Linked DNA regions of Arabidopsis thaliana. The protein of the gene in region 1 interacts with the protein of each later gene in a pairwise test. Each region holds a gene or a part of one and is shown in the gene's direction. Other genes may lie near its edges.

The links.
Region 2: the proteins of ATCHX8 (region 1) and AT5G16590 interact in a protein complementation assay, tested with the Arabidopsis thaliana proteins (one large-scale study listed by BioGRID).

What each region holds. Positions count from the first base shown.
Region 1 is NC_003071.7:12,010,375-12,015,559, reverse strand, and holds ATCHX8 (cation/hydrogen exchanger family protein), read left to right. Parts: upstream 1-1,820; coding exon 1,821-2,117; intron 2,118-2,202; coding exon 2,203-3,219; intron 3,220-3,328; coding exon 3,329-3,994; intron 3,995-4,095; coding exon 4,096-4,566; downstream 4,567-5,185. Other genes in the region: CSD2 (copper/zinc superoxide dismutase 2), read right to left, coding at 1-46, 139-178, 266-327, 748-1,012. UniProt on the Arabidopsis thaliana protein: May operate as a cation/H(+) antiporter.
Region 2 is NC_003076.8:5,429,851-5,434,916, forward strand, and holds AT5G16590 (Leucine-rich repeat protein kinase family protein), read left to right. Parts: upstream 1-1,733; 5' UTR 1,734-2,011; coding exon 2,012-3,296; intron 3,297-3,385; coding exon 3,386-3,703; intron 3,704-3,796; coding exon 3,797-4,071; 3' UTR 4,072-4,336; downstream 4,337-5,066. UniProt on the Arabidopsis thaliana protein: Might be involved in early recognition of growth promoting fungi. Appears to be specific for P.indica.

The sequences.
Region 1 (5,185 bases):
TCTTCTGGAGCTCCGTGTGTCATGTTGTTAGGGTTGAAATGTGGTCCTACAAGAATATAAGACAAGATATCGTCTTAGAATTTGGCAAATCATGACATCAGTATCAAAAGAATCTGCCACAGGGGTTTTGCTATTAACCTGTTGAGATACATCCATTAGTTGTATCACCAAACTCATGCTGCAAAATCAAACAGAGGACATAATTACACCATTATAGCTATAAGAAGAACAGATGATTCATTCTTCCGAGGAGGAACAAGCTTACGAGATGAAATCCATGAGGCCCTGGAGTGAGACCAGTGATACGAACATTCACAGTTGTAGGACCTGCTTGCCATAAACACAACCATATTCACTTAGAACAATCTACATAGTCAAAAATTAGCAAGAAACCATATAGGGTTACTTTGTAAACTTTCACAGAACCATTGAATCAGCAAGAATATGCAAAACACTCTTAAAGCTAATCCCTTTCTTTATCAGCTTATCTTAAGTTATTCATAGCAGTGAGAACCAAACACTAACAAATGTAACTCAACAGATTAAACAGAAAAAGTCTGAAACTTTGAAGAAACCGAAAATCAGATATGAAGCAGATTAAACAGAAAAAGTCTGAGACTTTGAAGATATTGAAAGTCAGATACGAAGCAGATTGAACACTGAGAGTGACCTAATCATGCCCATCAAATCAATCTTCAGAAACCCAGATGAGAAATTAGAGATTTTGAGCAATTGAGAGAGACGGACCTGAGTCATCTTGGGTCAAAGTAACAACTCCTTCGACATCAGAAGTACCTTTAAGCACTGCAACAGCCTTCTTCGCCGCGGAAACAACTGTCAACGCTTTCGACGGAGCTTTAACGGCGAAGGAAACAGATTGGAGACGGTGGAGATTGTTGTTGTTGAGAGAGACGCCGCGGAAAGAGGAACGGAGAGTTGAAGGATTGGAGGAAGGAGGAATGAGAAGACGAGAAGGAGATGAGAATGCGAGGATTGTGTTGGTGGCAGCCATGGCTGCTGCTATGTTTGACGTTTGGAGGAAATGAGTAGGCACAAATACTTGTGTGAGATTGAAAGATGAGGTTTTTATTGGTGTCACTGGTTTCTCAAATTCGGCCCACACATACACAATTTTTTTTTTTTTTTTTGAGTGCTTCTTTACCATTTTTCCAACTTTAGGACTTAAAATTTGATTAATTTCTACACTTTATTAGACTTTTTTTCTTCACTTTATTGCTACTTTTGATTGGCAAATTAGTTCTTAAAAAAATATAAGTATATGTTATTATCTTATGCGAAAATGTTAAACTTGCCAATATATTTTGACCAATTTAGTGACAAACTTGGCATGAAACTATCTAGAAATAGTTTCCTATCTTATGTGTGACCAAAGCTGTTTTCATTCATAGAAAGACAGTCATCTTATTTAAAGAAATTCCTTTTTTTCTGGTAGATTCTTAGTTGACTTCTTTCTGTGGTTTATAACTTATAAGAAGCTGAAGACATATACTATTTATAGTGGAGAAACAACTCAAAAAGGGTCTAAAACTACATATGTCTATAGATGTCCAAAGTGTGTTTTTTAAAAACAGCATAACCTATAAACAGCATATACATCTGTGTGTCATTTGTTTACAAATTGTTTCTTTGTTATCAAAAGGAACACAACATTTATTTTGTTATCGTCTTCCCCATTTTGACAAGAACTCACTTAAGATTTTGAAGTCATGGAAATGGGGAACGGGACAGGACCCGGGATGTCGGGGGCTTTTAGTGGAGGCGGCAACGAGATTTTGGGAATGGGAGGTGGCGGCGGCATAATGGGAGGCGGTGATATTTCACATATGAGTCCTGAAGTAAAATGGATATTTGAGATGGCTTGGTATGGTGAAACTGTAAGATATGATGGGTTAATTTGTGAGGAGCATCCCCCTAAGCTCTCTTCAGATGGTATTTGGGAGAAACTTATTATTAAATCGGCAGGTCTATATTTTTGGCAATATCGTCTTCCGAAGCTCGAGATTGTCATCTTGCTCGTCTTCTTTCTTTGGCAAGGCTTTAATATCTTGTTTAAGAAATTGGGTCTTTCTATTCCCAAGTTATCCTCTATGATGCTTGTGAGCTCTTCTTCTTCTTGTTTGTCTTTTTTTTTTCTTCAAAACTTGTGTGTTTGCTGCTGAGAAAATCGATGTTGCATTGCAGGCAGGGCTACTCTTGAATGTTCTAGTTACTTTATCGGGAGAGAACTCGATCATTGCGGATATCTTGGTCACGAAAAACAGAATCGACGTAGCAGGATGCCTTGGATCATTTGGATTCTTGATTTTCTGGTTCCTCAAAGGTGTAAGAATGGACGTCAAGAGAATCTTCAAGGCTGAAGCAAAAGCAAGAGTCACTGGAGTTGCAGCGGTTACTTTCCCTATAGTTGTTGGCTTCTTGCTTTTCAATCTCAAATCAGCTAAGAATCGACCTCTCACTTTCCAAGAGTATGATGTAATGCTACTAATGGAAAGCATCACGTCCTTCTCGGGGATCGCAAGACTCTTGCGTGACCTTGGCATGAACCATTCATCTATTGGCCGGGTTGCTTTATCCTCAGCCTTAGTCTCTGATATAGTTGGACTCCTGCTCTTGATTGCGAACGTTTCTAGAAGTTCAGCAACTTTAGCTGATGGTTTGGCTATACTTACAGAGATAACCTTATTCCTCGTCATTGCATTTGCGGTTGTGAGGCCGATAATGTTCAAAATAATAAAGCGGAAAGGAGAAGGAAGACCAATCGAAGACAAATACATCCACGGGGTTCTCGTCTTGGTTTGCTTATCTTGTATGTATTGGGAAGATCTTAGCCAGTTTCCTCCACTTGGAGCCTTCTTTCTTGGTCTCGCCATTCCCAATGGACCTCCTATTGGATCTGCATTGGTCGAACGATTAGAAAGCTTCAATTTTGGTATCATATTACCTCTTTTCTTAACAGCCGTTATGCTCAGGACTGATACCACTGCTTGGAAAGGCGCTTTGACATTCTTTAGTGGCGATGATAAGAAATTTGCGGTTGCGTCTCTCGTCTTGCTCATTTTCTTGTTGAAGCTCTCTGTCTCAGTCATTGTTCCTTACCTCTATAAAATGCCGTTGAGAGACTCTATTATCCTTGCCCTAATAATGTCTCATAAGGGTATTATCGAACTCAGCTTCTACCTTTTCTCTCTAAGCCTCAAGGTTAGTTTTCTCATATTTTGATTCTTGATCATGATTATGATTTCTTGCCAAAAACAAAAAGTTGAAAAGATTCATTGTTTTGATTCTTTTGATTGATGATTTGGTACAGTTGGTAACCAAAGATACATTCTCAATTCTAGTCTTGTCCATTGTCCTCAACTCTCTGCTCATACCAATGGCGATCGGGTTTCTCTACGACCCATCTAAACAATTCATATGCTACCAAAAGAGAAATTTAGCGAGTATGAAGAACATGGGAGAGCTAAAGACTCTTGTGTGCATCCATAGACCAGACCACATATCTTCCATGATCAACCTTCTTGAAGCTTCTTATCAATCCGAAGACAGTCCTCTCACTTGCTACGTCCTTCACCTCGTCGAGTTACGAGGTCAAGACGTTCCCACTTTGATCTCACACAAAGTTCAGAAACTCGGAGTCGGGGCTGGAAATAAATATTCCGAAAATGTCATCCTCTCTTTTGAACATTTCCACCGTTCTGTCTGCAGTTCCATTTCCATAGACACATTCACTTGCATCGCAAACGCAAACCATATGCAGGATGACATTTGTTGGCTAGCTCTTGATAAAGCTGTCACGCTTATCATTCTTCCTTTTCACCGGACTTGGTCACTTGACCGAACATCCATCGTATCCGACGTTGAGGCGATCCGATTTCTGAATGTCAACGTCTTGAAACAAGCACCTTGCTCTGTCGGCATTCTTATCGAACGCCATCTCGTTAACAAGAAGCAAGAACCACATGAAAGCCTTAAGGTATACTTACAATTACATCTACTATGCTTCCATGTTGGTCGTTGTAGATGCTTTAACTATATATATAGAAAAACTAAGCACACTAAGCTATTTGATGATAGGTGTGTGTAATATTCGTGGGAGGAAAAGACGATAGGGAAGCTTTGGCCTTTGCGAAGCGAATGGCCCGTCAAGAGAACGTAACATTAACAGTTCTACGCCTCCTAGCATCAGGAAAGAGCAAAGACGCGACAGGATGGGATCAAATGCTTGACACGGTGGAACTAAGAGAGTTGATTAAAAGCAACAATGCCGGAATGGTAAAAGAAGAAACATCAACAATTTATTTGGAACAAGAGATATTGGATGGAGCGGATACGTCAATGCTTCTACGTTCCATGGCTTTCGATTACGATCTTTTCGTCGTGGGAAGAACATGCGGCGAGAACCACGAGGCAACCAAAGGTATAGAGAATTGGTGTGAGTTTGAGGAGCTTGGAGTCATTGGTGATTTCTTGGCCTCGCCGGATTTTCCGAGTAAAACATCGGTGTTAGTAGTGCAACAACAACGAACGGTAGCCAATAATAATTAGAAGCGGAGAAAGCATACTATGGTTGTGGTTGTTGTTACATCTATCTCTCCTTTGTGTAGCATCTACAAAAAGAAGTTTGAAAAGAAGAAAAAAAATGTATGACCACATTTTATTTGTTTTTTTCATTGCTACTTGTGGAATATTGTTTTTTGTAGAGCAGAAAGAAAGACTTTGAAGAATGTTTTAATCCTTAAATTTTCCTATCCGAATAGTCTCCTAGGGTGAATAATTATAAGAACGAAAAATAGTTTATTTACTAGAATAATTGAAAATTTCTTATTAGTTACTAGAAATAGTTTCATACTTAGTTTACTTTTTGAAGCTTTCTTACGAAAATTAGAGTTCGTAATCAAAAGGATCTAGTGGTTGAGGGCTCGCTTTGTTAGTCAACCTTACAGTTTTTGGCTATTTTTGATCACTTTTTTGTCCAAATTCCATTTGCGAATTGCGACCACTGATTTTTTTTTTTTACACTTTCATATAAGGCAAGTAACACGTCTAGTATGTTAAATAAGCTTTTAAAACTTTTTTTAATTGTTTTTTTACTAAGAAAAACATCAATCTCAAACATCTAAACCCTATGACGGATCCGAAAGACTGATCTTGGACACAAGAAATG
Region 2 (5,066 bases), on another chromosome or scaffold:
TTGATTTTGATTGGTTATTATTTTTGAAAATTAATAATATATTTCGTTTTTAAATTAAATTTAATTAATTAAATTAGTATTTGACTTTTTAATCCTTAAAGAGATACATTAATTTACTCTTTAAAATTTTATTTCTAATGGCATACCTATGTAATTACTTACAAAAATTAAGATTATATTTAAAATGTATTTCCCAAATAATATAGTAGGACTAAAAAGCTTTGAATCTTATAATACTTTAACGAAAAAAAATTTGAACTAAACCAAATATCATAACTGTCTGTGAGCTATTATTGTATTCGCACCACCCAATTAGAATTTTGATAGGTACTACAATATTAAGTTTGTGATAACAGCCAATTATTACAATTGTTTGGTGGGTCATTATGTTCCCGTGACTCTGGGCTATTTTGTATATATGTCACTATTTTTGCCTTTCTTGTTGTAAAATTTCGAAAGCTCTTTATTTTCATTGGTGGGAGAGTCCTAATCTTCTTAATTTCTTATCATATAGTCCCAACTTGTATGTTTTGTAATTGTAATAACAAGTTGGACCGACGGGATATTGTGTAATATGATTGGTAATACGCAAACGCAAAGTAACATCACAGAACAATGCTCACACGGAAAATATGAATTCATAAAATTTTATCATTATATGAATGGAAAGTGGGAAAAAAGCATACATTACGAAATTGTTTTTTGCATGACATAAGAAGAACCATTTAAAAACTTGGTAACGTCAATTTATGCTAGTTAAGTACTATACTCTTTCGTCAAATAAAGAAAAATGCTAGTAGTAGTAGAGTAGACTGATATTGTTGTCCCATGAAATAAAAGGGGCTTCAAATATATAGTTTGATTTAAGAACCCATTCTTGTATAAGCCTATTTTATGGGCCGTAATCAATAATAATAATGGGCTTACTTTCTACAATGTACTCTTAACTGAATATCAATTATAGTTTGGGCCGAAATAAAAACGTTGGTCTCATCAAAATCCTAATTGTTTTACTTTAATATCATGTCTTCAGTACTAAAATACTAATGAGGTAATCTAATTTGTATATTTTCTTCCCAAAAATTTTCGATATGAGTTATTCCATTTTAATACAGAATATATTCTTACTTTTAGAGGAAGTAAAATTTTGAAACTACTCAAATCCTATTCTATATATGTACAAACACATTTTTTTTCTGCCGATGACTTAGATAGACACAAAGCTAAGAATTTCATATTGTAAAAAAAGTTAACACGTAAATATGTTCCACATATCCGAAAGGAATTTAAATTAGTAGTGGTTCAGTATTATTAAGTCAGACATTTTTAGGAGACGTTCAATAATATAACATACTTTCCCAAGAGTTGCATGTTTCCATCGTACATAATAAAACCATAACTAAACAATTTAAATTATTCATTAAAAATAAAAAAACGGATAGTATTTGTTTAATTTTCACATTAAAGTATCTTTTAATTAAGTATTTATTATTATCTTTTATCTACTTATGTAATGTTTATAACACTTCTTACAAATCTCTCCAGATTCCTTCATAAATGGAAACAAAAGCATTTAAATATGTAAATCATATGATTTGTTACTGAAAATGCTAAATTACACAATAATAAAAAGATGTAAGAATATACAGCAAACTCATTTCTTCTTGCTGTAAAAATAATCGCACGGAATATTTAAATAAATTAATAAAAGATTCTGTATCTCACTGTAAAAACTAAAAAGGTAAAAAATTGAACAATTAACTTTTTCTTTCCATTCACTGCAGTCTGCAATTAATAGCCTCTCTCTCTCTCCTCCTTCATCATCTCCCCATAGCCGTCGAGACAGATAGAGAGAGCTGAAATTTCTGTGAGAAGATTTTCTTCCGACATTTTCTCTTTCCAAACACTGTTCTACACGTAGTCGGAAATCTCGGAAAAACCAATCTCCGAGTCAGAGAGAGAGAGAGAGGCGTTCACTGTTGTAAAGGATTAAGCTTTGGGTAAGAAGAAGATGAAGAACAAGACCAATTTAGGTCTCTCAGTCTTCTTCTTCTTTATATGTCTCGTTTCCGTGACATCAGATCTAGAAGCTGATCGACGAGCTCTAATCGCACTTCGTGACGGTGTTCATGGGCGTCCATTGCTGTGGAATCTAACAGCACCACCGTGTACTTGGGGAGGAGTCCAATGTGAGTCGGGTCGTGTCACAGCACTCCGATTACCCGGTGTGGGTTTATCGGGTCCATTACCAATCGCCATCGGAAACCTTACAAAGCTCGAAACTTTATCATTCCGATTCAATGCTCTTAACGGTCCTCTCCCGCCGGATTTCGCAAACCTAACTCTTCTCCGTTACTTGTATCTTCAAGGAAACGCATTTTCCGGCGAGATTCCTTCGTTTCTCTTCACTCTACCAAACATTATTCGGATCAATCTCGCCCAGAATAATTTCTTGGGTCGGATCCCGGATAATGTCAATTCTGCAACCCGGTTAGCTACTCTTTACTTGCAGGATAATCAACTCACCGGTCCAATCCCGGAGATTAAGATTAAGCTTCAACAGTTTAATGTCTCATCCAATCAGTTAAACGGGTCGATTCCGGATCCGTTGTCGGGTATGCCCAAAACCGCCTTTTTAGGCAATTTGCTCTGTGGGAAGCCGTTAGATGCTTGCCCTGTCAATGGCACTGGAAACGGTACTGTGACGCCTGGAGGAAAAGGGAAAAGCGACAAGTTATCTGCCGGAGCTATTGTCGGAATAGTGATCGGCTGTTTCGTCTTGCTTCTCGTGCTTTTCTTGATCGTGTTCTGTCTCTGTAGAAAGAAGAAGAAAGAGCAAGTCGTCCAATCGAGAAGCATCGAAGCAGCTCCTGTTCCGACCTCATCAGCAGCCGTGGCTAAGGAATCGAATGGTCCTCCTGCGGTGGTGGCTAATGGTGCATCTGAAAATGGTGTATCAAAGAACCCTGCTGCAGTGAGTAAAGATCTGACATTTTTCGTGAAATCTTTCGGCGAGTTTGATCTTGATGGATTGCTGAAAGCTTCTGCGGAAGTACTTGGTAAAGGAACGTTCGGATCTTCGTACAAGGCCAGTTTCGATCACGGATTAGTGGTGGCTGTGAAACGATTGAGAGATGTCGTGGTTCCTGAGAAAGAGTTCAGAGAGAAATTGCAGGTTCTTGGATCCATAAGCCATGCCAATCTTGTGACATTGATTGCATATTACTTCAGCCGCGACGAAAAGCTCGTTGTTTTCGAATACATGTCTAGAGGAAGCTTGTCTGCGCTGTTACACGGTAACAAAATAAATAACTCTGTTTATTGTTTGATTCTTTAGTAGTGATTACAGATTTTTTAAAACCAATTTTTTGGAATGAATTCGTAGGGAACAAAGGAAGTGGCAGAAGTCCATTGAATTGGGAAACGAGAGCCAATATAGCATTAGGAGCCGCAAGAGCAATTAGCTACCTCCATTCGCGTGACGCGACAACATCTCATGGCAACATTAAATCATCTAACATTCTATTGTCAGAATCCTTTGAAGCTAAGGTCTCTGACTACTGTCTTGCACCTATGATCAGCCCTACTTCTACACCTAACCGCATTGATGGTTACCGAGCTCCTGAAGTAACCGATGCTCGTAAAATCTCCCAAAAGGCTGATGTTTACAGCTTCGGTGTTCTCATTCTTGAATTACTCACAGGTACAACAACACACACAAAAACAGAGAGATCTTGAAAACCGTATTTTTGGTCAAAATGTTGATTCATATATTGGTTTTTGTATTGATTTGCAGGGAAATCTCCAACGCATCAGCAGTTACACGAAGAAGGAGTAGATTTACCGAGATGGGTTTCATCGATCACTGAACAACAATCACCATCAGATGTGTTTGATCCAGAGCTCACAAGGTATCAATCGGACAGCAATGAGAACATGATCAGGCTTTTAAACATCGGTATAAGTTGTACGACTCAGTATCCAGATAGTCGTCCTACAATGCCTGAAGTCACAAGACTCATCGAGGAGGTTTCTCGTTCACCTGCTTCACCAGGTCCTTTGTCCGATTGATTGTATTTTTCTTTTTCAATATATGGGGTCTAAATTGATCATTTCAAAATTGTTTGGTCTAAATTTGAATTTCTTTATATAGTTTGGTCTTTAAGTCAGTTGAGAGATCTACGTTGAAGTTTTTTTTTTTTTTTTTGTGTTTCTTAATTTTTTTAGTGAAATTTTTTATATACAAATTGATTGAGTGTGAAACAAATTATATCTCTCCTTTTCTATTGGTCGGCCCATCAATTTGAATATAGTAACTTTAACTTTATTTCATGAAACTTATCCACTATTGACTCTTTCTTTCTAACGAACTAGCAAATAAAACGGCAGAAACAAAAAAGAAGGAGCCTGATTATTATATGTTGGTAAATTATAAAAAGTTGTCAAACAAATTTTGTTGATATATTGTGTCTGATTCTTCTCTCCGACCAATCATAAAATGCATGTCAACGACACATATTTTCTGTCTTTCCTCAATTTCAAGTTTTATTTGTATTAGTGACTAAGACTAAGTATCTAAATACTTATTACAAACTCCATGGAGTAAATATAATTTTAGGTAACGGGTCTATTTAAAGTTTCTAAGTTGAATCTGTCAAGTTAGTCCCCACCTTTCAAATTCAAATTCAGATAATTTGGTGAAGCCATCAAAACAAAAGTTTCTTCATTTTTCCTTTAATCGTTAAAGTAAATTTCAAGCGACTCTCTTTAAGAATAAAAAAAGAAAGAAAGATATACTATCTTTATAAATTGTATTGATCAAGACATATGCAGAGGGTTTCGGAAAATCATTTACGGACTTAATGTGTGAAAGAATTAGTTGAGTGCATCATTCATGTATAACTTAGAACATATCTATTTTGGTTCGGTTGAGATGTAAATAAAAAATGTTAGTTAAGAATTAGTTGATGATTTTGGGTTAGTTTGTAAGTTTAAGCGATATCAATGGGAATTGTAATGGTGTCCCACATCTACACTTAAAATGTTTGGTGTTTCTTGTTAAAATT